Linked DNA regions of Neodiprion lecontei. The protein of the gene in region 1 purifies or fractionates together with the protein of each later gene. This does not show direct contact. Links are inferred from orthologs where the notes say so. Each region holds a gene or a part of one and is shown in the gene's direction. Other genes may lie near its edges. The genes, in order: nucleolar GTP-binding protein 1, mRNA turnover protein 4 homolog and ribosome biogenesis protein NSA2 homolog.

What was found.
Region 2: the proteins of nucleolar GTP-binding protein 1 (region 1) and mRNA turnover protein 4 homolog purify together in Homo sapiens (affinity purification with mass spectrometry; 3 studies listed by BioGRID and IntAct, counting the BioPlex papers as one, with this or other methods). This does not show direct contact. The link is inferred for Neodiprion lecontei from reciprocal best matches to the Homo sapiens genes GTPBP4 and MRTO4.
Region 3: the proteins of nucleolar GTP-binding protein 1 (region 1) and ribosome biogenesis protein NSA2 homolog purify together in Homo sapiens (affinity purification with mass spectrometry; 3 studies listed by BioGRID and IntAct, counting the BioPlex papers as one, with this or other methods). This does not show direct contact. The link is inferred for Neodiprion lecontei from reciprocal best matches to the Homo sapiens genes GTPBP4 and NSA2.

What each region holds. Positions count from the first base shown.
Region 1 is NC_060263.1:16,124,926-16,136,531, reverse strand, and holds nucleolar GTP-binding protein 1, read left to right. Parts: upstream 1-5,146; 5' UTR 5,147-5,259; coding exon 5,260-5,307; intron 5,308-5,577; coding exon 5,578-5,852; intron 5,853-5,969; coding exon 5,970-6,207; intron 6,208-6,300; coding exon 6,301-6,543; intron 6,544-6,619; coding exon 6,620-6,874; intron 6,875-6,944; coding exon 6,945-7,232; intron 7,233-7,322; coding exon 7,323-7,601; intron 7,602-7,720; coding exon 7,721-7,864; intron 7,865-7,946; coding exon 7,947-8,102; 3' UTR 8,103-8,176; downstream 8,177-11,606. UniProt on the Homo sapiens protein: Involved in the biogenesis of the 60S ribosomal subunit. Acts as a TP53 repressor, preventing TP53 stabilization and cell cycle arrest.
Region 2 is NC_060261.1:34,234,521-34,244,469, forward strand, and holds mRNA turnover protein 4 homolog, read left to right. Parts: upstream 1-3,605; 5' UTR 3,606-3,784; coding exon 3,785-3,812; intron 3,813-4,012; coding exon 4,013-4,317; intron 4,318-4,421; coding exon 4,422-4,658; intron 4,659-4,947; coding exon 4,948-5,100; 3' UTR 5,101-5,159; downstream 5,160-9,949. Other genes in the region: phosphatidate phosphatase LPIN2, read right to left, coding at 8,358-8,511. UniProt on the Homo sapiens protein: Component of the ribosome assembly machinery. Nuclear paralog of the ribosomal protein P0, it binds pre-60S subunits at an early stage of assembly in the nucleolus, and is replaced by P0 in cytoplasmic pre-60S subunits and mature 80S ribosomes.
Region 3 is NC_060264.1:30,367,735-30,378,498, reverse strand, and holds ribosome biogenesis protein NSA2 homolog, read left to right. Parts: upstream 1-5,799; 5' UTR 5,800-5,859; intron 5,860-6,966; 5' UTR 6,967-6,988; coding exon 6,989-7,768; 3' UTR 7,769-7,923; downstream 7,924-10,764. Other genes in the region: histone-lysine N-methyltransferase SUV39H2, read right to left, coding at 406-2,195, 3,693-3,803, 3,965-4,028, 5,021-5,092; ubiquitin-40S ribosomal protein S27a, read left to right, coding at 8,084-8,186, 8,388-8,605, 8,724-8,873; protein Aster-B, read left to right, coding at 10,045-10,154, 10,743-10,764. UniProt on the Homo sapiens protein: Involved in the biogenesis of the 60S ribosomal subunit. May play a part in the quality control of pre-60S particles.

The sequences.
Region 1 (11,606 bases):
CAATAGAGTCATGCCAGATTGGGTAAAGAGCGTGACCCGTCAGTTGTTATGGAACGACGATCTGCCACCAAGAATCTATAATTATGCGAAATATTTTCAATATTTTTTGATGATCAAAATTACAAGGTCAAGCAACACTTTATGATCGACAATCTGGCAATCGAAATTCCTAACAACGATAACGATGAACTAATAAACTAAAACCATGACGAGACCCACTATCGGGGACATTATCAACTAATTCCATTATCATAACTAATCATGCCACGCATAGATACATTTAGTTAAGTACATCGGATATATATATATATATATATAGCATACCTCTAACGATAAGATAGGAATAAAGAAACACCGAACCCTTATGCGGGAGTGACAGCTAATGTACGACGAGAAAGTACACCAAACAGATCCCTTAAAAGAAATGATGCCATACGAGAACAACGCTTTAACCTGTGTGCAAGGGAACTACCACAATGCGAAATAAACGACAACCGAACTGATTCAAAACTATGGTGATTGCAGCTCCAAAATGTACATCATAGACCTTCAAGGATTTCACGGGGAAAATCATGTCTTCATGATAAAGGAAATCGCAGTGATGAGTTGCTGCGAAGGACCAATACACCATTCGATAGTCCGTATGGAAACAGAAAAATCTACTCTTCCGCCAGAAATCCAAACGCTCAACCAGCAATTAACAGATCACCACCATGGGCTCGATTGGCACGATGGCACCGCCGTTGCCAGTGACGTAACTAAGGCATTAGAGGCAATGTACAAGAACACAAGAATCTACTTAAAGGGCTCAGATAAGGTCGAAACCTTAAGACCATACTTCAACGACATAGTAAACCTGGACGACCACGGTTGCCCGCCCTTAGCGGCGATTAAAGAAAGCGGAGTACCCTGCATCCAACATTCTTTTATGGATTTTAAATTCAACTGTCTACTCCGCAACGTCACAGCATTACTTCACTGGGTGAAACAATCCTTCCGCGAGCCAGTAAACTGCGACAAATGGACAAACGAACCTAATCGGCTCCCACAAATAGCAATGCCAAGCTGTCAACGACGACGGGAGACACCGAAACGAAGGGTGCCCGAGTTATATAAGAAAATAGCCCTGAATTTACTGGGACACATCGTTAACACGATCGAAAAAGTTTGCAACGATCCAGAATAAAACCAACACCCCGTCTAAACCCAAGGGACATGCAAGCAATAAAAAAATAATAATAAATACGCGTCACCAGTCCTCTAACAAACCAAATACCTAAACCGATAATCAGACTTGCAAACCCCATATAATTATGCCCACTCGATAGCCCAGACATAATGAATTCATTTGCACCATGAAAAGAATTTGTTGAACTCATAACTTTACCGAATTGATAATACTGACGCCTATACGTTGTAACATTACAGGGCTAAAGATGTACGTTATCGACATACAAGGACTTGGAGGGAAAAATAACACGTTCGTCATTAAAGAAATCACCGTGAGAAGGTGCTGCGGAACCGCAATACACCACCTTATCCTCATCACAAAGACACATGGGACTAACCTACCCGCGAAAATTCAAAGGACTAATCACTGGCTGAAAGAGTGTCTCCACGGCCTTTCCTGGGAAGCCGGATCAAACACCCGCGCTCAATTGGAGGAATTAATAAACTCACTGGACGCTGAGGAAACTGTATACGTTAAAGGCAAGGAGAAGCAAACCATACTGCGCGAACATTTTAACACGGTAATCAACCTAGAAGATTGCGGATGCCCAGGTATATCGGACATAAAAAACTACGGAACCCCGTGCGACGAACATTCAAAATTGAACCCGGACTTCAACTGCTCATACCAAAATACCGCAGCCATGATGTATTGGCTGAAAACAAAATTCTGTGGACCGGTGCCTTGTAACCGATGAAAACCCAACCCAGACACCGCTTTAAAATCACCTGTGGCTAAAGACCCGGCGAAACTAGATCGAGCACTCACCGCAAGGAAAGGGCTAGACGTCTTGGAACAAGTAGTCGAAGCAATCAAGAGAATTAATTGCAATATTAAGGAAGACGAAGCCTAAAATAAGAACCACCCATCGCACAAAACACTGACGAAATATAACATCATCAAAATGTCCTAACCTCCTCCACAACCACACATCCTCACCAGAGCAAAAGACAATTCTATCGAACACCAGAATGTTCATTAATTACAGTCGATTTTCTGTTACGACCACAGAGGATCGAGATGGATCTCCGGCTAGCAATCCTGCCCCAACTGATCTGGATGACTATGGCCCTAATCGCCTACGACTGCGGATCGAAAATGATGAACCTGACCACGGTATCTCTCCTTGAAGTAGGAACATGCGACCTGCCGAAACTACAACCTGTAACTAGCACCATCGAAATGCAGCTCCTAGAACTCACCGACTACTCAGAGGCACGAATCACGCAATGCAAGGTAGAGATACATCGATCGATCTTTCACTGCGGAATGCATTCGCATATTTCGGCAACTAGCAACGGACAACTCGAATATATACACTTTGTATCAAAAGAAGAATGCATACAAATGCACCTGTACAAATCGTGGAGATTCGGAGTTAATAGCATTATATCCTAATTAAAACCAAATGGAATAACGACAAAAACCATATCACTTGGCGGAGCAACGAATTTTGACGGGACTTGCGAAGGCATACAATACTCCGACGAATACGGAACATGGAGCGACGTAATAGTCCAAGGATACGTAAAGATCAGTCTAGCCGAATATACTGCAAAAATAAACCTAAATTCAAATAAAATCATATTTCGATCTGGAACAACGTGTGACTTCAGCAACGGTAATTGCGTTGCATTGCGTAGACAATAAAGGAGGAAACACGTTTTGGGAAACCTTGCCAAAGGATTCCTGTCAACTAGACCGATACGACGTCTTATACGAAGGCAGAGCCATAAAAATCAAGAACAGCGATGAAACCTATGACGAAGTATATACAACGCAATTATATATTTCACGGGGAAAATCAAAAAAATTTTATATGTGACGTCGGAGCGGTACCTGGTGGAAATTTCCAGATATTAGACACCGGAATCATTCACACAGCTACAGTCAGACTCACATCAGTAGTTTGGGTCACCAATTACCGATAAAGTATTGAAATACACCGGACAACGGGCATTCTGTCGCTCTAATCGAACTAACCGAGGAAGGAGTAATTATTGGATAAAAGATTTAATTAATTGGCTTACCTCTTGAGAATACTCTGGATATGATGACTTGTAGCGTAGATTGGTGAGAGCATTTAACGGAATAACTGATTCTAATATATTCGGATACTTTGATTAACTTGGATTTATTTTATAAGTTCAATATTTCAAGTCACAAAAACGGAGTTACTTAGTGTAAGATCTTAAATTAATATGACAAAATGGAGCTGAAAGCTCGCTGGACTTTTGGGCAGAGTAACGTTGTATGAAAAGTTTAAATGCAAAAGGCAAAAGGATTTTACCGCGAGACTGTACCCGAACAAGATGACGAATCTGGTCATAGAAACCAAGTGGACGATCGGATGATCGGTCGCCGTTTTTATAGGGGTCGATCGTTGCGCAGAACGATCCCCTTTTTTATATTTTGTCACCTTTTGCGCACCTCCCCCTTTTTTTAGGAATTCTAATTAGGGCACGCCATCTTCGCCGCATGCACGCCTGTGATCTTAGTTCATTAGCTACTACTATATTGCAAGTTTTTACATATGGTATAACGCTGCACCGGTGCGGTGGTGTAGGTGCGGGGTCGTTGTTCTATAATTTTCCATTCTGCGTGAGCTTTGTTGTTGGGGCGCAAGCCCCCCTTGGCCCCTCGGCTACTGTGCTTCTTCCCGCCGTCTCGTGCTTTCGGCAGCTATTTCCTAATATGGTAATCGCAGTGCGGATGCGCTAGTGGTGACTCATGTTTTATGTTAGTGCCGTGTGCATTTTCGGGCTCACGATACGCTTAATTCTAGTTCCTGTTTACTTCCTAATATTCTTACTATCCTGTTCGTTACAAAGTCTATATGTCATATTGGTTACTCGTCGTTTGTTAGTTTTATAGCGTGTATCTATATAAAATTACATATGTAATATAATCGATTACTGTCGTTATTCACCTGGATTATAATAGCGATTGTTTATGAGACATAGTTGCTGTTTGCTTAACATTATTAGAATCGCGCTGCTGCGAATATTCTTAGGTGTTTGTGTTATAATTATCTTAACAAATTTAGGGTATTTAACAATTTGATAATCCATAGTTTTAGAGCAGGTTTACATGTGTGCTTTCGTATATAATTCTCTTCTGTAATTATTAATTCTTATATTGATATAAATCGGCTTGGAAGCTTCTAGAACGTTTTTCTTATGTTTGTTGGTTGCCTGTCATTGGGCGTTGCCACGTATGCATCTTTGAGTTTATTGCGAGTTGATTTACCTTCAATCGTTTCGTCGGTAAGTTTCCTAATGTGTTCTCTAGATGAAGCTCTGTATGGCTCCACATTGGAGATCTGCATTGCCTTCAAAACGTTGCGCGTGTTGCCTACAATACGGCGTTACGGAGGAAGGTACAGTTCATGCTGGATAATTAGTATTCACGGTTTTGAAGGTTTTGCAGTCTCTGGTTTTATGGATTATTGCAGCAGTGCTATCTTTACATTATATTGGTTATACATTTATCTATGGTTTTACAATCTTCCGTACTCCAGGTTATATGGTATAGCGTAAGTCGCTTATAGTATAGCTCTCAGCTCCGAATGCACAAATGGCATTGTCGAGTGCTATATAATAATTGGATATAATCGTGTTAGTTAATTATGGTGTTAATATGATAGTGATATGTAATAACGTATAATAATATTATAGCTCTTTGTAGTGCGAAGATCTCGTTAGTGAATGTCATAGTTATTTCCATCTAGGGATATTCCAAATAGTTAGACAGTTGTTTTAATTCCTTATGGTTACAAGATTCTCATACTTCGAGTTTGGTTAGTTGATAAAAGTAACATGCAGTAATAATAGTCGATAAAACATACGGACGTTCCGGTTGGATGTTACACTATGCTGGTAACTTAGTTGATTTATTATCCCACGGAGGGCGCGACACCATCTTTCTTTTCGGGAACGTCGTGCAGCACGTGCGTGATGGAATCCCAGTAACATTAGCAATATTCTTCATATATTTGCTGTCACCCAAGTGACAAATCATCTGTAAAAATGGCTCTGTATAATTTCAAAAAGATCGCCGTTGTCCCGACAGCCAAGGTAAGCAGATCCTCGATTGAGCGTCGAATCTTAACCTAGTCAAAAAGACACGTTCAATTCTGATGTCAAGCCAGAAGTACTAATTTCATTCACTCTCTGACACTGCACAATAAATCCCAAATAACGATCCGCACTTCTGTAATCCGACTCGTCGACTCACTGATTCAGAAGTCTTGAAAATTGAAGTTACCAATATTTTTAGGTTATCGACATGTCCACACCGTTATTTTTTCGAGGATTAATAATGTCATCTTGTCTGATGTTTTACAGGACTTCATCGATATCATCTTATCCAAGACTCAGCGCAAGACACCAACCGTCATACACAAAAACTACAAAATATCAAGAATCCGTGCATTTTATACTCGCAAGGTGAAATTCACCCAGCAAAATTTCCACGATCGCATGAGCCAAATTATCCAAGAGTTTCCAAAACTCGACGATGTTCATCCGTTCTATGCCGATCTCATGAACGTTTTGTATGACAAAGATCATTACAAACTGGCTCTGGGACAGATTAACACTGCTCGCCACTTGATCGACAAGTAATTATGCTTCTTTTTCATAATTCGATTTAATACTTTTTCCACATTTGCTCGTTTCAAGCTCGCGAAAGTGAAGAACTTGTCTGTGTTGAAATTTAATACGTCTAATTTTTTTAGCGTTGCAAAAGACTATGTGCGTCTTCTAAAGTATGGAGACTCCCTGTATCGTTGTAAACAACTGAAGAAAGCTGCGCTGGGTCGGATGGCTACCATAATGAAAAGACAGGCTGCAAATTTAACTTACCTAGAACAGGTTCGGCAGCACTTAGCTCGATTGCCGAGCATTGATCCGTATACTCGCACGATCATCATTTGCGGTTTTCCCAATGTTGGCAAAAGTAGCTTCATAAACAAGGTGAATTACCTCGTAATCTGGTTTGCAAATGTGTCTAATTATCGCTAATTTTTCAGCAACAGCTTTTGAGACATTGATTGATTTTATTAACAGATCACTCGAGCGGACGTCGAGGTGCAGCCTTACGCGTTTACGACAAAATCACTGTACGTTGGACACACAGATTATAAGTATTTGCGCTGGCAAGTCGTAGATACACCCGGAATTTTAGATCACCCATTAGAGGAGAGAAATGTTATAGAAATGCAGGCTGTCACAGCGCTTGCACATTTACGTGCTGCAGTTTTGTATTTTGTTGATATATCTGAGCAGTGCGGCCATTCGTTAGAGGAACAGGTAATTTATTCAAAAGAAAATATCACCGACTGTGACTTTATGTGCATTTGTGATTAAAACTTAATTACCTATGCAGGTAAAGCTTTTCGAGTCCATCAAACCTTTGTTCACAAACAAGCCACTGATGATCGTTCTGAATAAAGTTGATGTTCTTCGACTGGAGGAGCTGCCGGAAGACAAACGTGAAACTCTAAAGCCTTTCGAGGACGATCCTGACCTTCCGGTAATTGAAATGAGCACAATTACTGACTATGGGGTCATGGAAGTCAAGACTCAAGCCTGCGATCGGCTGTTGGCTCACAGAGTCGAGCTCAAAATGAGAACGAAGAAGGTAAAGTTGTGGAACAATAACCATGAAACAGAATTTCTCGCGAATTTTGCTCATTATATTTATTCAACAGATGGAATCTGTCCTGAATCGATTACATGTAGCTCAGCCCACTGCCAGAGACCAAAAAGCGAGGCCACCCTGCATTCCGGAAAATATTCTCAAAAAGAAAGAATTGGCAGCTGCAAAGACCGAAAGAAAGAGGAAACTGGAGCGTGAGATCGAGGAGGAAATGGGCGACGATTACGTATTGGACTTGAAGAAAAATTACGACATTGAAGGGGACCAAAAGTACGACATTATTCCGGAGTTCTGGGAAGGCCACAACGTAGCGGACTACATAGACCCCGACATTTTCGAGGTAACCGTCGATTGAATCGATTTTAGGAAGCGAAAAATAATGCTGTAAATCATATTCCCATTATTGTTATCCCTATTTTGTTATGCACAGAAATTGAACGCTCTGGAGCAAGAAGAAAACCTGCGGGAGGAGGCAGGCATTTACGATGCTAAGATTCCGGAATTGAGTGAAACTATGCGAGAGATTCGCGACTTGGCAAAACAAATTCGGGACCGCAAAGCCATCATGAAAGACGAAGCACGAATCGCAAAGGCCTCTACTAAGCCTGTTATGCCTCGCACAGCTGGCTCAAAAGTGCGAGATCGTTCCGTCACCAAGCTCCGTGATCAAATGGAAGACTTGGGTGTTGATATGGAGGGCACAGAAAATGTAAGTTGGCATATTCCTCCAACAGGCGTATGAATATGAAATATAAGAAAGAAGTGTTTTAGGTAAAAATGCAATGAACATTTTATCGTTCTTCAATCATTCTCCATTATATTCGACAGGCGAACTTCACCAGGACCAGAAAGAGATCTAGATCGCAATCGCAGCCTGCCACTAAAAGGATGCGACTTCAATCCGAGTCCCAGTCTAGAGCGCGTAGCAGTTCTAGACCAGCTCGTAATGATATGGGAATTAAGGATAATGTTGTAAGTGCTGAAGTTTCATTTTTTAAGTTCAGCTTTTTTTTTTCTGTAGTTTAATTACACACTCTATGTTTCTCTATCACAGATGAAGATGAAGTTAAAAAACATAGCACACAAAGCAGTGGCAAAGAAAGTGGGCAAAAAGGGATTGAAAGGAGAAGCCGATCGATTCATCGGGACAAAGATGCCGAAACATTTGTTCGCTGGGAAACGAGGAGTCGGAAAAACGGACAGGAGATAAATATATATTATATATATATATTTTTATATCAGAACTGCTCCACCGTAAATACATATGTATACGCGTTATACTTATGTAACTAGCAAACTTTATTTCTACCTAGAATCAGCGGAAACTAAATATCCAGGCATATACTTGTGAAATTCGATTCTTCATTAGCATTATCAGTGGAAAATTGCGAATAAATAGCATTACATAATCTATAACGATAATAAATTAAGGATAACGATCAACGAAAATTTCATCTAATTTCGCATTTGAGCCGACAATTTAACGAGTGTTTCTGACATTGAGTAGGAATGTTGTATAAAAAGATGAAAGATCAACCAAATGAAAGAAAATTAAAACAGTTTACATACTGTAAAATAGAAATTATTCAATAACTTCGGTGCTACAATTATAACGATAAATTATTTCACCGCGCTTTGCAGTAAATGTTTGGTGTTACATAACGTAAGGCGATTCATTCGGTTCGAATAAGGGATAGGCAGTTTATGGATGACGAAATCCGAATCTCAGTGTTGTGACACGAGGTAGCGCCGTTGCGGGCGGAAGTGTGACTGAAGTCGGCTAGGCCTGCTTATAAATAAGGCAACAAATGCAGCAAGGTTTTGCGCTCAAGATATAGAAGTGAATTTACAACAATTAAAATGAAATATACAATTTTATTGACTAAAGCGAAGTCGGGGTGAATATATTTGTCGAAAACATCGCGGCGCTACCTCGTAGTATTTTCAAGTGACGCCGTCGCCATGTTTGTTTTTAGTATTTGAGGAATGAAAAGTGAACGCTAGAATCGGTTTGAATAAATACTCTTGAAATTTGGTGAAACAGCGGGTTTGTCAGAAGTGACAATAGTGTCGATGATTTCCGGAATATGGTAAGCACCCAGCGTCCCGCTGTTATTGTTTATTTATGAACGTTTTTATGTTGTTTTTTTTTCGTACAACAATTTGATTCTCTCGCGGCTAGTGGAATGAACGCATAGTAGCTGCCTAGGCACAAACACGCCTCGTATATACGTTCCAAACTCCTTTCTACACCGACGAAAACGATTTTCGGAACGAGCTGCGGAACGCGATATTCAAACCTTCGATCGGAAATGAGGTTTGCTTACGCCAGACTCGTTATTCGGCCAATATCATTGCCGAAAATATCCGTCGTTTCACTCCAAGCTCTGCGGAGGCAGCCGCACGCCGCTGTAATCGAATTATCGGGACATTCGATTCGCCGCCAATATTATACCCCGTAAAAATCATCAAGTAACCGCAACGGCAATGTCGACTTTTGCCCAATTCCCCAATTCTCAAATTTTCCGCATTGCAAACTCGGTTTAATCGATATTTCATCATCGCGTTTAATGCAATAGTTGATACGTTCAATGCGCGTTCGAAAAATTCGAATAAACATCTAAATTATACTTCATTCATCGACACAACGAACTTTCCCTACGCAACTTGCCGCTCTTTTTGTTCGGTGTCGTACACGTTAATTGTCCCTCAGTTCGTACCGGTTCTTCGAAATTTTCCATGCTTCAGATAATCCAACGCGCGTTATTTTTACACGCAATTATTTTATACCGTATACCTAGCAAGCAAACCGCGCTGAACCAGCAGCCTCAACGCTTTTTCCTGACTCTTCTACACTTCTAGGCACACATGCCAGAAGCGCAGGTGTCTATAAATAGATCTTCGTACTCTGAAAACGTCAATTAATTTGGCGCTAAATCCTGGAGTCTTCCAAACTGCAATTCATCGTATCTTTAAACATGTATTTTGATAAATAAAAAAAAATAATGAAAACCAATTTTATTTTGACAAACCCAAAAATTTTTACATATGCTGTTGAAAAGAGTTCACAAACGTTTATAAAACAATTTGTTTCACGTTATAAACATTGTACCTATCTTATAAACAAAAGTTATTCTCATGTCTTTGGATTTGAAGAATAACATTTTCAAGCATTCTATAAACTATTCACACTTTTACTTCTACCTTATTATGTCATCAACTGATTATTCATATCTTGTCGCTCTTTTCTGCTTTTTTACTCTTGAGCATGTAATGACTGGACACGTAATTACAAAATTCATTGTCATCCAAACAATAGATGTGTGAATTTGTGCTACAGAAAGTAAAATACAAGAGACGTGTACTGAATTTTAGTCCAATATAATATTGAAAAAGATCATCGTAGCTCTGAGTGTAATTCAAATGTAATTCATGCGTGATTTCTGTATTAACGACGTTTGTCACATGATGCTATTAGGTCGAACCAAGCACATTTATTAGCCTTGTCATTTCCGTTCTCGACCAGTAAAGTATCCACTGATTACCAGACCGGATCCTTCCCAAACTGCCATGTTTTGTCCTTCCAACAGCTAGCAAAATTCCCAATGAATGCGGGGATGTAAATTTCCAAAAAAAAAATCCTAATTTTAAGTCATCAAAACACGCTTATTTACAGGCCATGCCTTTGCATAACCTAATTAATTTTTTCAACAGACACCGTCATGAATTAACAAAATACTTTTTCAATTCAAAGCACCTTACAAATAGCATATTGAATAGTTGAAGTCTATAACGCTGATGTAACTTTAGATTTGATTAAATGGCCTTAAACTATGATAAAGTAAAAGATGTATTTACATTACATTTTGGGAATTCAACTCCTTGGAGGCATTTTAAAATAAGAAACAATGATTTTTTTGTTTCTGTGTCGCGTCATCTCAACATTGCTAATTCTAATCTCATAATACATGCGGAATCTATCTGTTCATCTCTTCTGTCTATCAAGTGACGAATGGCACAGAGTTAAATGGGGGAAAAGCAGGGACCACCAACAATGTTGAGAGCAATCAATATCTCGAGAGCGTGGGTGAGTGGTGGGGGTAGGAGTTGTCGGCTTTTGGGGTCTGAGGGTGGCTGTTGCTAAGGGGAAATAGTGTCAGTAATGAGCGACCTACCCTCCCTCCATTGCTTTTTCCTAATTCCCTGCTTCCCATCTTTTGTGATCTGACATTAAAACAAGGTCAAAGATTGCAATGTTGATATAACGATGCACCATTTTCAGAAAAAATTGATATATCTCAACTCTAAGATAATCCTGAAATTTAGTAAACCGTGATCGATAAACATACATGCATTTTTTGGTTCATTGTTACAATACTTTAACTTTAACATTGCCAACTTTATTCAAGGTTGTGTCCACTGCAAACAACCTTGTACCCTATATTTCCAACATGATATCCAATGAAGTGTTCATGAATATTCGATGTTCCATATCTTTATGATTGTCGTTTATTATACTCCTTTTCTTCGTTTTTAATTTATATCAGTTGAGGCAGCAGTCTTGCCATTTCATTCTTATCGATAAATCGTTGATTTGAATATCATGCGAACAGATGACAGTGCTTCACTGTCAATTCGCTTCTGTAAACAAATTTTCATTCGACAGATGCTGAAATTTGGTCATGATTTGTATTTGTGAAAAAAAAAATTTAAA
Region 2 (9,949 bases), on another chromosome or scaffold:
CATATAAGTGGAACGATTCTGACGCACAATTATTTTTTCTGACATAGTTAATACATAAACTATATATATTCTTTTAGAATGAATAGTTTGTACTGACGTTTTCTCTCCTTTTGTGAAATGTGTGCCCAACGCGATGATGTTTGGTTTGATATAATGAGCGTACTAAAGAAAAAAAAAATGTACATGCAGTATATTTTATACTCAATGAAACGGACGCAGCATGCGGTTCAACGCACGCTGTCCATCGCACTATGCGTGTTATGCGCGTATGTAACTCGTTGCTGATACTACAGCACCGAACCCAAATTCTTAATTTGGGAATACGAGAAATGACACGATGTTCAAATCCAATTCGATTCAGTATTGGCTAAATACACACTGCACTATACGTATCCGAACCTTTATTTTTTGGGAGGGGAGTAAATAAAGGGAAGTAAGAAATAGAAAAACACATCTGATCTCTAATGTGAACTTTTACGAGAGGGAAAATTCTTTCACATCCAATGACGTATGTTAATATAAAAAACGGAAAATTTATAGGATTGCTCCGTTTTCCTACCGCTGACGGAGTCGAGAACGCATAAATCTGACGTAGTTCATCAGCTAATGATATTATATGTATAAGTATATTTAATCAAATTTGACGCGGTTAAGATATGAATTGAATTTTTCTTGCGAAGTTTTAGATATAACGTATTATCGATACTCTATTTTCAGGTTTGACCGCGATCATCTGCATGTGCGATAAATTCCGAATAAAGAAAAAGAGATTTTCGCCACCGCCGTAAGATATCTGTCACTGTCACGCGATATGAACCGGAAGTATCAACCCGTAACAAGATTTTGCTGACCGTTACAGCACAGATTTTGCGTTTGATATAATATACATACCTATATAGAATCGTATAAGTAGCAGGAACGATGGTTACGGTAAATAAATACATCGTAGCGATTTCAGACATTAGCTAGTTGTGGAAAATTTTTTGAAATTATAGCATCTTTACGCAAGTACGGAAAAAGTTATTTCAACTTCGAGCGTTAAAGAATTATTTGCATCTACCGGGGATATAACGACGAAGAGGAATAGTAACTCAAATATGACGAATACAACGTGCCCAGTGTACGCACAGAGAAACAAACAACGAGAGGAAAGAAAGGAAGTGTGTAAAGAGAAACTTTAGTCATTACCCATGGCAATTGCCTTATATTATGCACGTATGTGAGTGCGCGTGTGTGTAACAACCTGGTTGAGAAACTCGTCGAGATATTCGCGCCGAGCCTAATATGAATGCATCTATATTATAAAACCGGATGTGACATATTGATATGTTCGAAACAGCTTTCGCGTAGTCGTAAATGAGACACATACGCTACGCGGAGTTCGCGCATTGCATGCGAATCATTGCACCCCGCAGGTATTACAAATCGTCGGCGGGTTGCACAAACCCACATTTACTATTTTCTACACTAGCAGGCATTACGCTTGATATAAATTAACGTGTCGCATCATCCTCTCTGGCACGTGACGTCACGGCTGATAGTAGTAATTTCCATACGGATTATCTCGGCAGCGACGGATCTAAGTGAGCATGCAACAACGCCGAACTCGGCCGAATGCGTTCAGAAATGATAAAGCAAAAAAACAAGAAAGAGATACATTTGGAAAATAAATGTGCATGAAAATCACGAAAATCATAAAAATCTTGAGACGCCATCTGCTTATAGGCAAAGGCTTTCGACCTGCCTAGATATGCTAGATAAATCGCGGCGTAGGTACACGGCAGACGTGGGTCACACTACGTACGACACATAATGCATGCACCCACGTGAACGACGTGTGGCCTTGCTTTAATAGATTTATCCACCGTCATGTAATTGAGAATAGATTCTCTGACCAAATAAATTCGAACCAACCAGAATCAGGTGCGTGCGCTTGGAGAGGATAGAGAGAATAAAAAAAATAAAATAAAAATTAAACTTCTATGAAGCTAACAAAGAATTTCTTTGACCGTTGTTTGTTACATTGTGCTGTACGTACGTTGACCTGTGCCAAAGATTGATCTGCCAGGAATCCGATAGATCTTTGGTGCGACATGTAAGTGAACATTGATTTAATGCCGCATATTTGTGAATTTACAACGAGAATTTAAGTCACATGTAGCGATGCGGATAATATCTATTCCAATCCATCGATTTCAATAACAGCGGGGCTAATTAGTTCCCATTTGTTATTGATCAGTCTCGTACAGGTAAACTCACGGTAAGATTTACCGACACAGTAGACATAATTGACGAGAACTAATTTAGTCGCAGTTTTCATTCTATATCCTTTCGTGTGATCGTTAAAACTTTTTCCTGTTACATGATCGTAAAAGTTGAACTAAAAATGAAGTTCAGTTTGGGAAGAAAGGGAAACAAGGCCTGTTGGAGGTTTGAAGACCGGATTGAGATATTAAAGTACGTAATAAGGCGATCCACCTGGATGAGAGAAAGGGCGTGCCTAGTCGTAGGCGTTTGTCACGGTCAAGTATGCGACGTACTTCTACCAAGCTACAACTACGTGTGGCTGCGGATAATTGCACAGTAGGTATGACGAAACGACAACGATGGTACACCGTTTATTACGAAGATTTAAAAATCCGAGGACACGAATCGAGGATTGGAGAAAAAAGTGCGAGCGGTTGGCGAGAAAGAGGGAAATAGAAGAAGGACATCTCCGATTTCTCATGACCATATAAGGAGCTAAATTCTTAAAAAATGATCGCTCATAGTACGAGTAAAATATGACAGTTTGACATGCGGGTATTGAACGGCGGTAGCACGTGGTTAATGATAGTCTGACAGTCGATAAACGGTGAAATGCCCGAGCACTGTCAGACAGGGATACGTTAAATGCATGTGAAAAAGTTGGACATTTTTTTCGCCGGCAACCTGGCAAAATGGCAAAATGGCGCCCCTGGCGCCTGAGACACTCCTATTAAATGCGTCACTCGAGCCGTACCCTCCGCGGCTACATTCACGCCTATCGCCTTTACTCTTTAGGTACGATCTCGAACCGGAAGATTTAACCCGTCTACTTGACACGGAAAATCAAAAATGCCGTCATTACTGACTGGCTCGATTATCCTAGTGATAGGCGCACGACGTCAGTATCTGTATGGCTGCTCGTTTATTCGATGTGGAAGCCGCTTTCCAAAATTTCCATCATCTCTAGTTGCTACGGGGTTCACACAGCCCGCAAACGACGTTGCGCACATTTAGCATAAAATTAACACTTCTATCGTATGCACGGAATCTCCGGTTAGCGAGGATTCGGTTTCGATACATTTTTGGTTAAAACTCACCTTTTGAATGCAGAAAGTCGCCTGGAAAATCAAGGCTTCAGCGAATTTCAACGACTCCCGTCTAACACGATCTCACAGAGTGCACTGCCGCTCACCGCCGGAAACCGCCATTTTAGACTACGTTCGATTAGACACTTCCCCTACCATCGATCATAACCTATCTTCATTCGATACGCGCACCGTTTTCAACCCTTGTGCGATAAACATCTTGTGTAATTTTCGAAAATTTTATTGACATACACAATACCTCACCGATGCACTTGCAAATTGAATAAAAATGAATTAATTGTGAAGTTGAATTCAACGTAACCAAAATGGCGTCCACGTTTCCTCCTGACTGTTTACTGCGTGACATTCGAACCGGTGCTACTAGCACATGGTTTGTTTTTTAAATAGTACCTCAAAGTAATCAGACCGTCTGAAAAAACAGAAAGTGAAAGATGCCGAAGTCCAAAAGAGACAAGAAAAGTACGTAAATCACCTCAAACACTATCGCACAAGTGAAATCTGAACCGTTGTCCAGATATTATTTGCACATAACCTATAATTTGATATATACATGCTTGATAGTCGTAACTGATTTTGCATTTGGAATTATAAAAAATTCTCTAATACTAACAAGTTCTTGTAATTATTGAAAAATGATAAATTTTCGTTTTAATTTTCAGTCACACTTACAAAGACCAGCAAGAAGGGACTGGTTCTGAAACAACAGATCGTCGAAGACATCCGTAAATGTGTAACAAAGTATAACAGCATTTTTTTGTTCTCCGTTCAAAACATGAGAAATAACAAACTTAAGGACATCCGGGCTGAATGGAAGGATAGCAGGTTCTTTTTTGGTAAAAACAAAATCATGGCGCTTGGCTTGGGCAAATCTCCCGAGGAAGAAGTCGAAGATGAAATACACAAATTATCTGCCGCTCTCAAAGGCCAATGTGGGCTCCTTTTCACCAACAGACCTAAGGATGAGGTACTTGATTAATGAAAATGGCAATATACAAATATATAAATGAATTAAGCAAATATATCATATAATTATTTCAGTATTTTTAAAGGTTTTTTTATTTGGGACAGGTCTTGGACTGGATGGAACAATATGGTGAAGAGGATTATGCACGCTCAGGTTTTGTTGCAAATGAGACAATAACAATACCTGAGGGACCGATGCCAGAGTTTGCACACAGTATAGAACCACATTTGAGGCAGTTGGGACTTCCCACATCGCTTCAAAAGGGAGTTGTAACATTGCTCAAGGATCACGAAGTTTGCAAAAAGGGCCAGACACTCACTCCAGAACAAGCCAGAATACTGGTACAACATTTGTATTTGTTTAGCAGATGTTTTCAAGTATATAGATAATTCCATTATAAAAAGCTCAAAGGCTTCGGTTATGTACTCTTTTTTTTTTCAATTTGCTCTTCTGGAATTTTAATGCTAGTTCCCTCAATTTTCCATGAATGAAATCCAATACAAAATTTGAGAAAAACTGAAATCCACCCATGCATGTCACAAAAGATTTCTCGTGGAATTACGTGTATACTTTACAAAGTACCAATTTACTGAATTCAGTATGGAGCATTATTTTTGTACCTTCTTACAGAAACTCATTGGCAAGGTATTAGCAACATTCAAGTTAACGCCTCTTGGGGTATTTGTCAAGAGTGAAGGATACATGCCAATTGCTACAGATGATAACGATGATAATGAAGATGACAATGTAGAGATGGAAACAGAAGACACAACAGATACCTGAAATCAGAATTAAAAATGACCTAAAAATGTACATATTGAATAAAAAATTGTTTTTCCATTTTTGCGGTTTATCATTTCTTGAGTTTGTGAATAAAACCTACAATTCTTTTCTCTTATCTCACATTCCAGAATATCAGTGACAGCAATGCGCCGAGGAAACATGCATGTTCCAAAACAATCTAGTCCTTGAAATCCTGCTAAAAAAAAGCATGCAGTTATTAGAAACAAACGATTTTGAAATCTCTCGTCAGCAGTGCAAATATCAAGATAAATTTAATGAAAAATATTATTACCAAATAATACACAATATTTACACATTGTACATACTCATTCAATGAATAATGAGTTGCATATTAGGATTCACTATATTTTGGATCGTCGGTATGACATGGGTGAGTGAAATAATTAAACGAAATTGTACCTTTTATGTGTATAAAACTTTGAAAAAACTTTTTATTACAATTTCTGATACCAATGTGAGAAATCATCGGATCTAATCTTGTTAATCAACAGATAATATATCATTGGCTGAATGGAACTGTTCCAAAATCTAGTTGTGAAAATTCTAAAAGAGTGGCATTCAAAATCACAGCAAATAATCATAAAAAACGAAGTACTACTTCTGTAGAATCATGGGACATTTCTGATAATGAGGACAACGGAAATGCAATCACCAGTCACAATGAGCTAACGACGTATCGGGCTAATTTTATTTAGCAAGTAATCTACAGTTTTTGTAGTGTAGCTGAAAAATGACTAAATCTCAATGGTACTGTTTGTATAGTATCTGAAATGAATTCTGGTATGGTTGAATTGAATATCAGAGTGCTATTTCAAACTTTTCGACGCAATTCGTCTGCAAACGAGTACAAATAAATTTATCAACTACTTTTACAAATTGATAATACTAAAACGGTTAATTATTTTTTTCCCTTTATTATTTGAAACTTGTGTAGATTACAAGATATGATTATTACATTGAATAAACTGTTGCATAGAGAGCTTGATAATATTTAGTTCAAACTTTCATATTTAATTATTTAATCTATTTACTGATAAGGTTTTCTTGATAGTAATAGGTTTTGAGCTCAAACTGCATTCCACTTTGAAAAGGCATAATTATTCTTATCCTCGGAAGATACCTATTGTTTGTTCCCATGCGGAGTGAATAATGTTTATGTAAAATAGTGAGTGAATTGTAGAAGAAATCTTGTCAATTCTTTTTGAATGACGTTAATCAAAATAAATATAAATACGTAATATATCTTATTACGAGCAACTTGCTTTTTCAATTTGGAATGACAATCGTAATAAGTTATATTCCGCTCTCAATGTGTTAGAATTTAAATAAGTTCGACATTCTAATAGCAATATCAGCTCTCTGACAAGAGGTTTTCATTAAGATACATTAATTCATGATAATTATCACTAAAACGTATCATTTATAGGCAACAATTATGTGACGACACTGAATGTAAAGCGAAGTGAGCGAATGAAATATAGCTGTGTACACGTGTTGTTCATGTTCCTCAAATCACAGGAATTCAGATCGTCATATCGACTGGAAATTACCTAAACAAAAGGATCGGTAATAACAAGAAAAACTCGAAATATCGAATTATTTATCAGGTAATATCAAAGAAATAGTCGAACACATATTCTAAAATGAAAACTAAATTTTCTTACTAGATACGATAGTATAATACTTAACTAACAAAATCAATAATACCTGGTTACGAAATAAGTTTATATATTTTACATAATGTGACTTACAGACCTGACTAATTTATAACCTGAATAATTTATAATATATACATGTCTTACTAAACGATAATCAATTATTTCAACCAACATATAGTAATTTTACAAATTCTAACTAGATGTGAATGTCTCAAATCTTTTTTATTCCAGTGCCATACGCTTCCAATTTTCACATCAAATTCTTTTTACAAATAAATACAGAGACAAAAATAAAATTAAGAAATTATCGAAGGGTTTTATAAATATAAAAGTATGATTATCTATGTATAATATAAGTGGAAAATGATCTTTGGTAAAGTAATTACGCATTGCATTGTCAATCAGCGTTGTGTAATTACTTGATGACAAAAATAATACGGAGAGTAATACACACAACAATAAGAAAATATTAAAGATTGAGTTATTTTAATCAATGTCAACTATTATCATACTTTATCACATGAAAAATAAAATGTCACCTCTTCAATTTTTCTCTTAATTTTCTCACCTTTTCAAAACTAACAGTACAACATGTAAATTTATAAAGAATTTACCCTGAAATCTTAAGAAGTAATTCATAATATATCAAATAAATTAAACAATAAATCTACAAAAGTAATTTAGATCCGTTTCACTTCGTGCAACAATTTGAGCAGATACTAAATTTAGTTAAATATAACTTTATCTATCCCCTTGCTCGTAATATCACAATCCAAAAGTCAGTCCTTTTATGTTCCAACTCACCATGATCAATTTGTAACACCAACTGAATAGAAATCTCATTTAAAGAAAATAAATAATAATTGTCTGAGTAACATGGACAAGACAAGAGGTAAATGTTATACACCTGAATTATTGGTTTACAATCAAAACACTTTCAGTGAAAAGCTGGCAGTATGTCGTAAGCAACAGATACTAATCTTTTACAGATTCAATTTCTCATCTTTCTTAAAGCAAAAGCAAAACACGTTGACGACGTTTAACCGACTCTCAGATTTCAAGTAGTATTGATTTTATTCAAGTAACTGCCGGCTGTTCCTGCTACTTAAGCTGCTAGGTGCAGTATGAAACCGGCGTGACGTATGCGATGCAAGGAACTAGTACCGAGATTGACAAATAAATAAACAACTGAAGTCCACAAGTTACGTGTTTCACTATGTATCACCTATATTGGAATGTTTTTGGAATAAACAACGTAGACTATGTGTTTTCATAGCGTAAAGTAAAGTAAAAGTGGTCGTTCATTTGCTAGTCATTTAAAAAGAAAAAAGAACCGAAATAAATATTAGAAAGCTATGAAAAATACGGGGAGTCAATTCTTTCATTGCAACAAAATGTTTCTTCTTCTTATAGTCAATGACAATTTTGAATGAATAATAAGACAAAATATTTCGTAGCAACACGTCAGCCGGATCATCAGCTGCATCAATACACAGAGTATAAAACTTAGCTAGACAGAACAACTGTTTTAATAAATAATGAGCGATTTATTATTGCTCAGGTGTCGAGTGAAGACGTTTATTGCGTGGTTTGTGTCTCAGTGCTTAGTACTTCTAGATCCGGCAACTCAGGAATTGGCTCTCGCCAGTAAGCAAAATTGCTAAATTCGTCAGTTGCATCTTCAGGCAGGGGGGGAAATAGATGATCTACAATATAGCTCATGTTCGAGTATCTGAAATATAAAACAGAGATAGTAAATTTTTACAAGTTTGGCTTACCACGTGAACATTTAATTAACACATGTAATGTATGCAAGCAGTAATGATTTAGCAGCAGATAAATTATGTGTAACACACAGCACTTCCTTCCAGGCTCAATGGCATTTAATTTATAATGCCAGTATTTTCCACCGGTTCAGTAATGTTCGTCTGAACTGTGTTAAGAACGACTGTTGTTTTACTGCTTAAGCAACAATGACCGTAGTGAATTTGTGAAAATGAAGGTTCAATGGTAAGTATGTAGACTGTCTCGTTCCTAAATTTGAGCAGATTACCAAGTTGTAATAGAGGTATGAAAAGAATGCGAATAGACGTGGCTTGTGAGAATGTACATGAGAGAATATCAGCAACGATCGTTTGTGATATCAATTGGTAAGTTTTCAATTCTATTATGGTATTAGAAAGTCAATGAAAATATTTTGAACTCATAAAAACATTTTTCAATTAAAATAATTGTAAGAATTAGACGAGTAGCCGAGTTACAAATTATCTAGTGTATACTGAGTGCACAATAGTAGAAAACTCAATAAAATATGACAAATTTCATCAATTGCATGCCATCGATAAAAGGTTGGATTAGAAATTGTTTGTATGAGATACGTGAATAAAAATTATCATTAAGGTATTAGATGGATTTGGACACCGTACCCTGTGAAACTAAGCTGATGCACGAATGCGTATAAACAGCAATAACTACAGTTTTGTGATTTGTGTAAACTAACGTACTGGAAGTTCACTGGAAGTACTTAATTGCATATGGTAATGAAATCGGAAGATTTAAGCAATACGAGAAAAACATTGGCAAACCAAACTCTAAAAACGTAAACCTTGTATTAAGAGTTATGGTGTTGAAGGAAATAAGCGTGACATCAAAATTAATTAAATTGTCGAACTCTGAGCATGAAGAAAGCCGAATGAATCATCAGTCAAGTATATTTAAAATAATCAAGCCGAGAACAAAAAACAAGTGTGTAGTGTCGAGTGCTTACCCTATACATCATAAGTAGAGAAGTAGCAAGCAGATGTACAACCAAATACGTCATCGGTTTTCGACAATAAATAAAAAATATTATAAAAAATATATGGTCAACAGTCCAGCTGTCACGATATAAAAATACATCTTTTCTTTAAAAAATTGAGGGATCGAAAAGATCATATTTTAGAAGTTGCCTTGCGGTAAACAGCTACCAAAACTTGTATGATGAAATATACATATAATGTAATTACTAAATGTAACTAAGAAAATGATAATGAAACTGGCATGATAATACTACTAAAACCAAAATTTGATTAACTTCTCTTTGTACATTCTCAAGCATTTGTAAACCTCTATGTATGTATGTACATCTATACTGTGCATATACTTTTGATCTGATTCAATATCAGTACCAG
Region 3 (10,764 bases), on another chromosome or scaffold:
AGTATTAAAAACTATCAGTGATCTGTTCATCAATAGAGTGTACTCTAGTGAAGTATTGAAAAATAAATGCAAATAATAGGTATCGAACAAAACATTAATCATTATTATTATTGGCTTTTTTCGTCTTAGATTAAGCCAAGGTTTCCTTGCGCTAGGAATAAGCCCGAGAAATAGTCCATACTTTTGTACAGAGGATCGTCGTGGCTGGATTTATTTGTACAATTTGAATCCTATTTAGCATCCAAGATAAATTTCGAACCTCAAGTCTTAGATATAAAAAGGATTTATATGATAACCAAAGCCAACTTATCCTTGGAACAACACAATAATGTTTATTCTATTAATAATATTATTACTAATAATTATTATTACGATTATAATAACTGTACTCCCTGGGGCATAAATTTAAAATAAATATCGTCTGCACTTAACAGCTCCGCATTTACACCTAGCTCTGGATTCGGCAGAATCATTATTCAGAATAACATTATCACGTGGTAATTCGAGTCGTTGACGAGGAGATAAAGCGGGAGAAATGTCTGCTTGAAGTTTTTCCTTCTTGGGCGTGACGACCGACGTATTCCTGAGCGATTGGCACATGTAGTCAAAGGTAATTTCTTCATATCTCAATATATTCCTTGTCGCGAATAAGCCAAGTTTCGGCAAATTTGGATCCAAACAATCTATCCACACACCGTAAACAGCCAAATTTGGATCGCAAGAGTGATTTATAAAGTGAGATATATTTCCATAGGTCGCTGCGTCAACCGTGTACGGACACTGTTCCATCTCGTTATAGTCTAGGTCGAACAAGTAAGTTCTGCCAGCCGCGTCGTACTGTTTTCCCCTTCTCTCAGCCTCGTCGTTTGTTATCACCTCTCCGACGTACTCCGTAACGAAAGTACCCTTCTTTATGTATTGAAGAGATTTCACTCCCCATCCGCATCCCGTCTCCGTTCTAAATATGCAAAGTTTTACAGATGTCCCGTGCTGAACAACACGATTCAAGCAGCTTTGATCGCAAGCGCATCTCTTATTGCATTCGTATATCGGAGTACCTAGAGGGACTCGGATCCTTTTTGCTGTCGTGTAGGCAAAAGATCCACCCGACTGCTTACCGCAACAGATCGACTTTGGCTCGCAGACCAAACACTCGCAACCGATTGGCGGATCTTCCGGTATCGTTACCCCCTTGCCAGGAAGATAAGCGTCGACGTATAAAAAATCCTGCGGCGGACCTTCAAAGTCCACATCATTTTCTACCTTAATTACTGGTCTGTCCTTTGTTATTGTTCTTATCTCGTTTTCCCATTCTTTCAAAAGCTTTAGCTGGGCAGATCTATGATCGTGAAATTCGTACACTAAAATATCAAACTTCACTTTAGTCAACAGTTTGGCGTTCATTCTGTTGGGCCATTTTAACAGCTTGTTTATGTTTTCATTCAGCTCCTGTTTATTTGGCAATTTATAATCCATTATCTTTCCTGTCTGCTTGAAATTCTTCATAAGACTCTCCATCTCCATCATCGAAGGATAGTAATTGATCTGGTTTTTAAACGTGTCAACCAGTCCGGCATTTGAATTCTCAAAAGCTGCCAACAGTTCGGCACAGTTTGTCAAATTCGAAAGTGGTTCCCAAGTGTTAAAGCTGTCGTCCCAGCCTTTCCACTTCACAGCGTATACTTCAACTCCTTTTGAATATCTTTTATCTAATATTCTCTCCACCTCGTGTAAATCCTCGCGATTGTTCGAAGATTTTATACTCGATTTAAGTTCGTTTATCTTTGTACCAATATCTTCAAGTTTTATCACTGCTTCTTTCAAACTGTACTTCGTTCTTTTATCTACTTCGACTGCCACCAAATTCTCAGCCTGGATTCGCCCCTCAATTCCCGTTGCCGCTTCTTCCTCGGGTATACTGGGCGAATTCTCACCGTTTGTTGTCACAGTGTGAATAATGTCGTCATCATCCTCGTTGTCGTTGTCATCATCGGTGTCGTTATCGTTATCACCCTCGCTAAGCCGTGGTATCTTGACAGGACGCTCTGCGTCAGAGCTCCGAAATATAGCACGTTTTTTTGTAAATTGGGACGTACTCGAGTTGGAGATCGGAGGCGGGCTTTTATCCGCAGGATCTGCCTCTTCGACACTGTTTTTTCCATTTTCTTTGTTGATCGCCTCCGCATGGTGTGGCTCTGTAATGCCAAAGATTTAAACGGCGTGATTCATCCGTTCTATTTCATGGAGGAGACAAAGATTATTTACTTTTATTAAATCGATATTTCTTTCACCATTTCATTGTTTTGGTGAATGATCCGTTTCTATTTTCGACCCCTGTGCTTTACTTTAGGATTCAGCACGAGTGTTTCTTTTATTTATTCATTTATTTTTTTTTTTATTTTCATGACACGCCAAATTTTGCACCTTCTCTTATTATAGGTACCGTTTTCCGTTCTTACATGCTATTTTTTCCTCTTCGATCTTCTTTATTACTTCACTTTCATACGTGGGGTTGCTTCCACCTTTTTTTTTTTTTTTTTGCGCTTTTCAATATCTTTTACTTTTATCCTCATTAACATTTGTATCGCCTTTGTTCTTCTGAACGAATTTTATTTAAGAGAAATGAGAAGCTTTGCGACAAAATTTGAATGTCTAAAATGAAACACCGTCAAATATCTCTCGGATACGGGCAGAAAATTAAAAAAATTGAGGACTGTGGTAAAGTTTGCTCAAGATTTTCGAGCTACACATTAATCCCCTATTTCCCTGAAAGTAACCTATTTTTCACAAGACCATAATTTTTACGGTTTCATGGAGTGTCGTTATCTACGGAATACTTACGCTACCCCCGAATTATTTCGATCCTACATTTAGTTGAAAATAGAAACATTATTCTCAACCATCGAATTTATGTTTTCAATTCATTTTAGTTTGTACAAAAAAAAAATCAATATGTAGCGAAGATTTAAATGTATTGTACATTCAAAATTTCAGTCATCCTCCGGTACGTCTGAATATTGTGCGAAAATTTTTATATTTACAGGGGATTTTATTTTTCTACAATTCAAACACATTTTTGGGGTACAATTAAAAAAATTTCAAAATTACCAAAATGACGTACACCCTAGTGTGTATCTAATTTTGCTCTGTTTGGTAAATACTATGAAAAAATATTGAAACCCTAATAGCCCGTTATTTTCACAAAGTGTTTCTCTATTTTTCCTAAAATTACGTGGCTTAAAAGCATTGCGAACCCTGGATTTTGTGTGAAATTTCGTTGATTAAATATCCTGACCTTCCCGACTGTTGGATACTATTTTTAATAATGTGCTATGTATTTAATGCATGCAATGAGATCATTTGATGCTATGAGTTGTTTCTGCAAAGTATCAACAAGTAAAGTTTTGGGTTGAAAAATGAGTATCCATTCTTTGTATACAATCTCCAGTTGATTGAAACAAGATATGTTCACATGAAGACATTCGTAGGAAAGCCTAGGTTTTGGACAGTTCTTAGAAGTCAATAAAACTTAGAAGCATTCCATGTCCTACAAGGTTAGATAATTGAAAGTAATCATTCAGGAATAATACGATAATGACTTAGTTAGTACTTATTACTAGTTATAAAAAAATACCATCATCAACTAAATTTTTATATTAGACATTTGAAATAATTTCTCAAGTGAAGCATACCGAGTTTGATGGTAATATTTCTTTCCAGCTCATTTTTAAACCGTACAGTTTGCACGCCTGAAATGGCTTTGACGATTGTTGACTTTCCATGGGCTACATGTCCGATCGTTCCTGTGGAAAAATAATGAAAATTGTAATTTAATCAGCTCTGAATGCTAATGGTATTGAAAACATAATAAGGTAATTTTAATAATTAGCATTCATGTATAATTTGTCGTTTCTAATATTTTAATAACATCGTTTAGATACTTCTCACAAAAAATTGTTCTTACCAATGTTTATCGTCGCCTGTCGGCTGATGACTTCCCGGGACAGTGCAGTCAACTTACCAACATCCTGAAATAAAAAAAGGTTTATATGATTTCACGGTTAATTTCAGTACCAAATTTGTCTTATTATCAATAACTTTCTTAAAATTCTTCGCATAAAGCTTTCAAATGAATACTATAAAAAAATCAGAAGATATCACTCATGTTTTTACTCATTCATCATTTATATTGATTTCTAAACCAGCAATATCTGAAAGCAAGTCTCTAAACTGGTATTTAACAAAAATGCGCTTGGAATTCTTTCACTAAGAAACAAGGTGCATTGGTTCTTTGCTAATCAAAATTGGTTACAATATTTACTTTGGGTTAAATACACTTATTCCTGTAGAGCGGTGTGAATATTTTTCGTTTGCACTATGAATCCATGAGTTCTAAACCTACAACATATTGTATGAAAAAACTATTCCCAAGTCCATCTGACATTTGAGATAATGAGGTGATTGATTCCTAACCTAGCGTCGTTTTGTTTCTATCCCATATTCAGGTGAAGGAATCCGTTAATTCAATGCATTTGAATAATGCGTTCCAAAATTGGACGGATATTTTTTTTTTCATTTGTCATGTGAAATCGCACGTTCACGTAAAATCGCTCCATAACGCGCCACGATTCGCTAGGGGAATGTGGGGAGCTCGATTACAGTTAGTTGATTGATTGTAAATATGATAATGCATGGATAGCGAATTTCAAAGCAAAGTTTAGGCCCTACGAAGTTCTTAACCAGCCCTAAGCCACGCCATTATACGGAACCGTGTGTAAGGACAGCGCGTGAATAGATGTTTGAGGTTACGTTAAAGTGCTGTTAAGCGAGTTCTCCGAAAATTAATCAGTGCAAAGCATCGGCCGATGTTTCGAAGCAATAATTGAACATCGTCAAACTGGAATGTGATATCCAGGGGATAAAATATGTTTGAGAATTAAAGCAGCAGTGGCAGTAGCCTGTACAAAATATGTCGGCTAAGATAATCTAATCGAGGCGGATAGCTAACGCCGGAACTTACGAGCTTCGATAAATCTTGCTTGTATAAATTAGGCTGCCCTGTTGTAACCCCGATGCCTTCGTCACCTCCCATATTTGCGATTAACTTTAATTAATAAAAAATCTCTAAACTATTTAGAGTCTAGGCTCGCGGCTGGCGGCGCTAAAACTTGGAATTGGTGACAACGGGCGACAGGGCAGAAGCAGAGATGCGCATGCAAAGAACGCCGGAACTCTTTAGAATCTTGTCGCCATCTGGTGACAGTTTTTCGGACACAAACTTTTGACGATTCGTCATGCTAGGTGTCCACAGCGCTTCACTGGTGGCTGCGAGCCAAAACTTTGAACAGGACTGAAACTCTCATTGAAATTCGATTGAAACGTTAAATAAATAGTTGACGTACTATAATTATGCACGTATATATAAAAAACGAATGAAGCATTTAGTTTTCCCGACTGTACAACTGATTCTAAAAACATATTATATGCAAATTTCTGACGGAACAAGGTAGATGGAAATCGTCGTTATGTCAACTGTTTGGTCTATGTATCGATTTAAACAATCATTTCAAGCACATTATAGTAGATTTAATGCGTAAGATAAATCGATGGTGACATTGAAATTTGACCTGTGCATTCATGATTGTGTGTGCATACATACATAAAATCACTGAATAGATTGCAGCGTGTCTAATACCAATGTATTAACGCATTACCGACGGAACGCACAGCATCTGCGTGGTTCATGGCATAAGGTGAACGTCGCAAGAAGGGGAGAAAGATTTCTTATCCACTCGACTTTCCCTCTAAGCCGCTTCGATACTCGGCGGTCTTTTCTGTTCCTGGCGTGGTCGGCTGTAGGTGAGTTAGAATATGTTTCTCTAATTTTCATTCAAATACTTAACATTTTGCGGTATTTAACGCCCTGAACGACATTTCTATCTATCGAAACTGCTTAACTGCTGTTGTAAATGCGCGAAAACGATCCTGCTGTGATCCAATACTACTTTTACCTAATCCTGACATTTGCCACGTTTTTCTGCCCACTTGGTCGGTCCAGCGCGTGCTCTTCTCCATTACAAAATGCATTGGCGATACCGCTGATGACTATTGAAATCTAACGATCTTCAACGGTAGTCGCTGATTTGTAATAGAAACATAGCGAAATGTATGTAATTTTAGCTAAAGGTCATATGTTTTTTCGCAGCATTCATTTTCTACAAAATAACCTCCGTCACCAATCGCCCACATGCTATTCTCACGGGGCAGTGTTTGGCGAACCTTTGGACTCTAATCCAAAGTATTTCATGAAATAGTTTACATCAAACTTACTGTTTTTTTTTCTATTATGTTTTGATATGTTTGCTTTTTGCTGTCATACAACAGTTTTACTTCATTGATTCGGGTACATCTTTAGCTTATGCGTAACATTTGTACCGGTACAAGTTTCGCGCTCTACAATATTACCACAATCGCTAGTCTGCAAATCTCAATATTTGTACGATCACGCAATTATATTATAAGACTCGTACGTTTTAATTCAAGATTTGGGCAGTCTGGTTGTAGCTGCTGAAGTTGTGAAAGCAAATATTCCATTTACTCAATGAATTTGAATAATTTTATATCAAAACTAGATATTTTCAATTAGCGTTATTAAATTGAGTTTGTTAAGAAGTTATCACAAGTTGCGTCAATTTCAAGAACCAGAAATCATGGCTTTGTATTCCTTGGCTTGAAGTGGGGAGATCGAAGAAAAAATAATTGTTGGACAGGTAATGTCTGTGTATCTGTGAAATCGACGATTGAAAAAAAGTCTAAGGTAAGTTCTTTGCTGTAAAGAATAGATCAAATTTATTTGTAAATTTTCAAACCAAGTATATATAAAATATGTAATTATCAATTAGCCAACTGTCCAAATCTGAACATCGACATGTGCTAATTAAAAGACATAGAAATTTTCTGTTTCAGCAAGCAGATGTAAGAAAACAAAATGCCACAAAATGAGTATATGGACCGTTTCCGAACCTTGTATGGAAGGCGGCTTGACTATGAAGAACGCAAGCGTAAGCGAGAGGCTAGGGAACCTCACAAACGTGCAGAAAAAGCACGCAGCCTGCGAGGATTGAAGGCAAAGATCTTTAACAAAGAACGCCGCAATGAGAAGATCCAGATGAAAAAGAAGATCAAGGCTCACGAGGAGAAAAATGTCCGAAAGAAAACTGAACCCACCCCAGAGGGAGCGCTTCCAGTTTACCTGCTGGACAGGGACGTTTCTTCGCGCGCGAAAGTCTTATCCAACCTCATAAAACAAAAACGTAAAGAAAAGGCTGGTAAATGGGATGTCCCGATACCAAAAGTAAGGGCACAGTCAGACTCAGAGGTGTTCAAGGTGATGCGAACTGGAAAATCCAAGCGGAAAGCATGGAAGCGAATGGTGACAAAAGTAACATTTGTTGGTGAAAGTTTTACCAGGAAACCACCAAAGTTTGAGAGGTTCATCAGACCTATGGCTCTCAGATTCAAGAAGGCACACGTTACTCATCCAGAACTAAAAGCCACATTCTGTCTCCCAATTATTGGTGTTAAAAAAAATCCGAGCTCAGCCATGTACACAACTCTTGGCGTTATAACTAAGGGTACTGTTATTGAAGTGAATATTTCCGAATTGGGGCTTGTTACACAGTCCGGTAAAGTTGTATGGGGTAAATATGCCCAAGTTACCAATAATCCCGAAAACGACGGCTGCATTAATGCAGTTTTGTTAGTTTAATCACTGTTCATAGCAAACCAAACTAAAGACTTGACACATATTCTTCGATTTTATTATTTAATTCAAACATTGGACTATTCTACTTGTATTCAATCACTGTATACCATTAAGTTTAATTGAGAAATGAAAAGTGAAATAAAGTAATTTTTGAAATATGGCAAATTTTTTTTCTTCCCCAATTTTTCTAATTTCTAATTGTATCATTTTTGTATGGTTATTTTTCCCAGCCAACACATTTTCAGGGTGAGATTTCAATGTAGACACATGTATATTTTTTCCGTTTTTCTTTTACAGCTGGTCTAGACCATAACCATCATGCAGATATTCGTCAAAACTTTAACTGGGAAGACAATCACATTGGAGGTGGAAGCCTCCGACACGATTGAAAATGTGAAAGCAAAAATACAAGATAAAGAAGGTAATTTAGTTGGGACTAAGCGAAAATACCAAGAAGATGAAATTTTTATCAAATTGTACCATTTAACTATTAAACACACTAGGGTAGGATTAAGCGCAACAAATGTACTCGAAAAGAGGGAATCTTGAAAGTTCTGGCCACAAATCAAATAGTCAGTAAAAAAGAGAAGAAAAATGTAACGATTTGCTTTGATTTCTTCAGGGATTCCCCCTGATCAGCAGCGTTTGATTTTTGCTGGCAAGCAACTTGAGGATGGAAGAACTCTTTCCGATTACAATATCCAGAAAGAATCTACGCTTCACTTGGTACTCCGCCTTCGTGGTGGAGCCAAGAAACGCAAGAAGAAGAATTACTCCACCCCCAAGAAGATCAAGCACAAGAAGAAGAAGGTTAAGCTTGCTGTCCTCAAGTTTTACAAGGTACATTAATTATTACTATGTGTTCACAGTTGCATATTTCCTTTATTCCATTCTGAATGTGAAAAAGAAACAAAACAGTGTATAGTTGAATAAAATCTTCAAATTCCTCTGTTTCTAGGTCGACGAGAATGGCAAGATTCATCGTCTACGACGAGAATGTCCTTCCGAACAATGCGGTGCCGGAGTTTTCATGGCAGCCATGGAAGACCGTCATTACTGCGGAAAATGTGGCTATACTCTCGTCTTCAACAAGCCTGAAGATAAATAATATGTGTATCCCGTATACATAACGACAAAATAAAAAAAAAATTTAAACATAAAATATTAGTTGTTTTCGGATAATCAGTTCAATCAATAGTAATTATCATATCCCTCGACCTTCAGCTAATTCTTTCTTTTTTTGCTATCATATTTACTAATGACAATTGCAAATATGACACTAGACAAGTCAGTTCAAAATATAAATAAAAGTAATCCCGAATGGATCACCCAGGGATCACTGAATTGCGTGAAAAATGAAGTTTTCTCACTATTGAACAATTGTTCGTTTCTACCCTGTTTTTTTATGGTTAGGAAGTGGTTGGGAACAATATTTGATATTTTTACCCACCGGGTCTTTTTACTTTTTCACTAATTTATTACAGTTCGCGTCTAACGTTACCGTTATTAACACCGCTGAACTGAAACAACATGAGCGCTACCGCGGTGAAAAATCGCAATGACCCACCTGATACTGGCTAACTACCACAGTTAGATACCAACCGGTGCCCGGGAAGCTAGCATCTCCTTTGATTTGCATACTTCATGATCGTGAAGTATCTCATTATTATTAGTGCGGGCATGTAAAGTGGCAGATATAGAGTTTTACAAATTTTTTTCGTCATTTGCAAATTTGGTCTCGGGGAAAGCGCGTCTCTGGTAGATCAATCGAGAGTGAGCGAAAAACTTTACTGAAAGTAACGTTGAAAAACAAACGATCGTAGAAGTGTATACACAAATAATTAGGATTTGGTGTTTATACACATCGCGCAAGTGCTGTGTGTGGGGTCGTATAGAAATTCTACAATAATGAAAACAGGTGTAATATAATCATTGACAAATTCAATAAGACGCAAAGTGTACGTTACCCTAGTGTACCTTATTGTCTGAGACATTAGTCAGTGCGTACGTACGGAGAAATAAAAAACAAAACATGTGAAACGTCAAGGTAGGTGTTTTGTTTCGTGTCCAGTGGTAATTAATCGAAACAGAAGATTGTGTAGAATCGGCACTGTAACGATAAGTAGTTATAGTAGACAGTTCGAAATAAACGAACGTCAGAGGAGTTATATCAGATGAAATTTAGATTATGACCCTAAATGCGGTGTATTATTATCGACAATGAGAACAATTGTTGACAGCAGGGATTATCCGGTTTACCGCTGATACGTTTGCCGATAATGTGGCAGATGGCAGTTCACATTACAGATTTCGGTCCTGCTGCATCAGAACTTCTAATATTATACGAGAACGATTCAGCCACCCCGGGAGGAGACCCCACCTCCATTATGTAAGTGTTGCTTAAGTAATTCCTGTATCCGCATGTTCTGTACCCTCCGAGTATCGAAAAGGCGGGGAAACCCGAGTTGCGGTAATGACAACAGAACGTCGTCGTTATTGCTTGGCGACAACGAAAAAAAATTGTTCTACTTGTATTAAAAGACGCGTAGCATTGATCCGTCTATTTACGACAATTACCCTATATCCACCTCCCATCCATCATTGCCTTATCTCTCAATTATTACCTCGTATTGTCGTTCATAGTAGCCTATCTAATGTCATTCGCGATTTCAACGACATTGAGATATATTGATACGCGGCTTGACTCCTCGAAAACAATGGAATAAAAAAGTAAACAAAGCAACTGTATAAAGAGAAAACACCAACGGAACAATTATTACTATTTGCAATTGCTCATCTTTCTTTTATTGTTCATTTTAACAATAAGTACAGTACATAACAACAATACTGGCTTCAGTGTTAACGAAGCAAACGATTGAAATTCTGAAGTGGACAAGGCAAAATATTGACTCATTATTTTTCTACTCATCATTAGGGATATCAGAAAAAAAAAATAATGCATGAAATTTACTTTCAGGAACAAGTCGGTGGAGAACGTT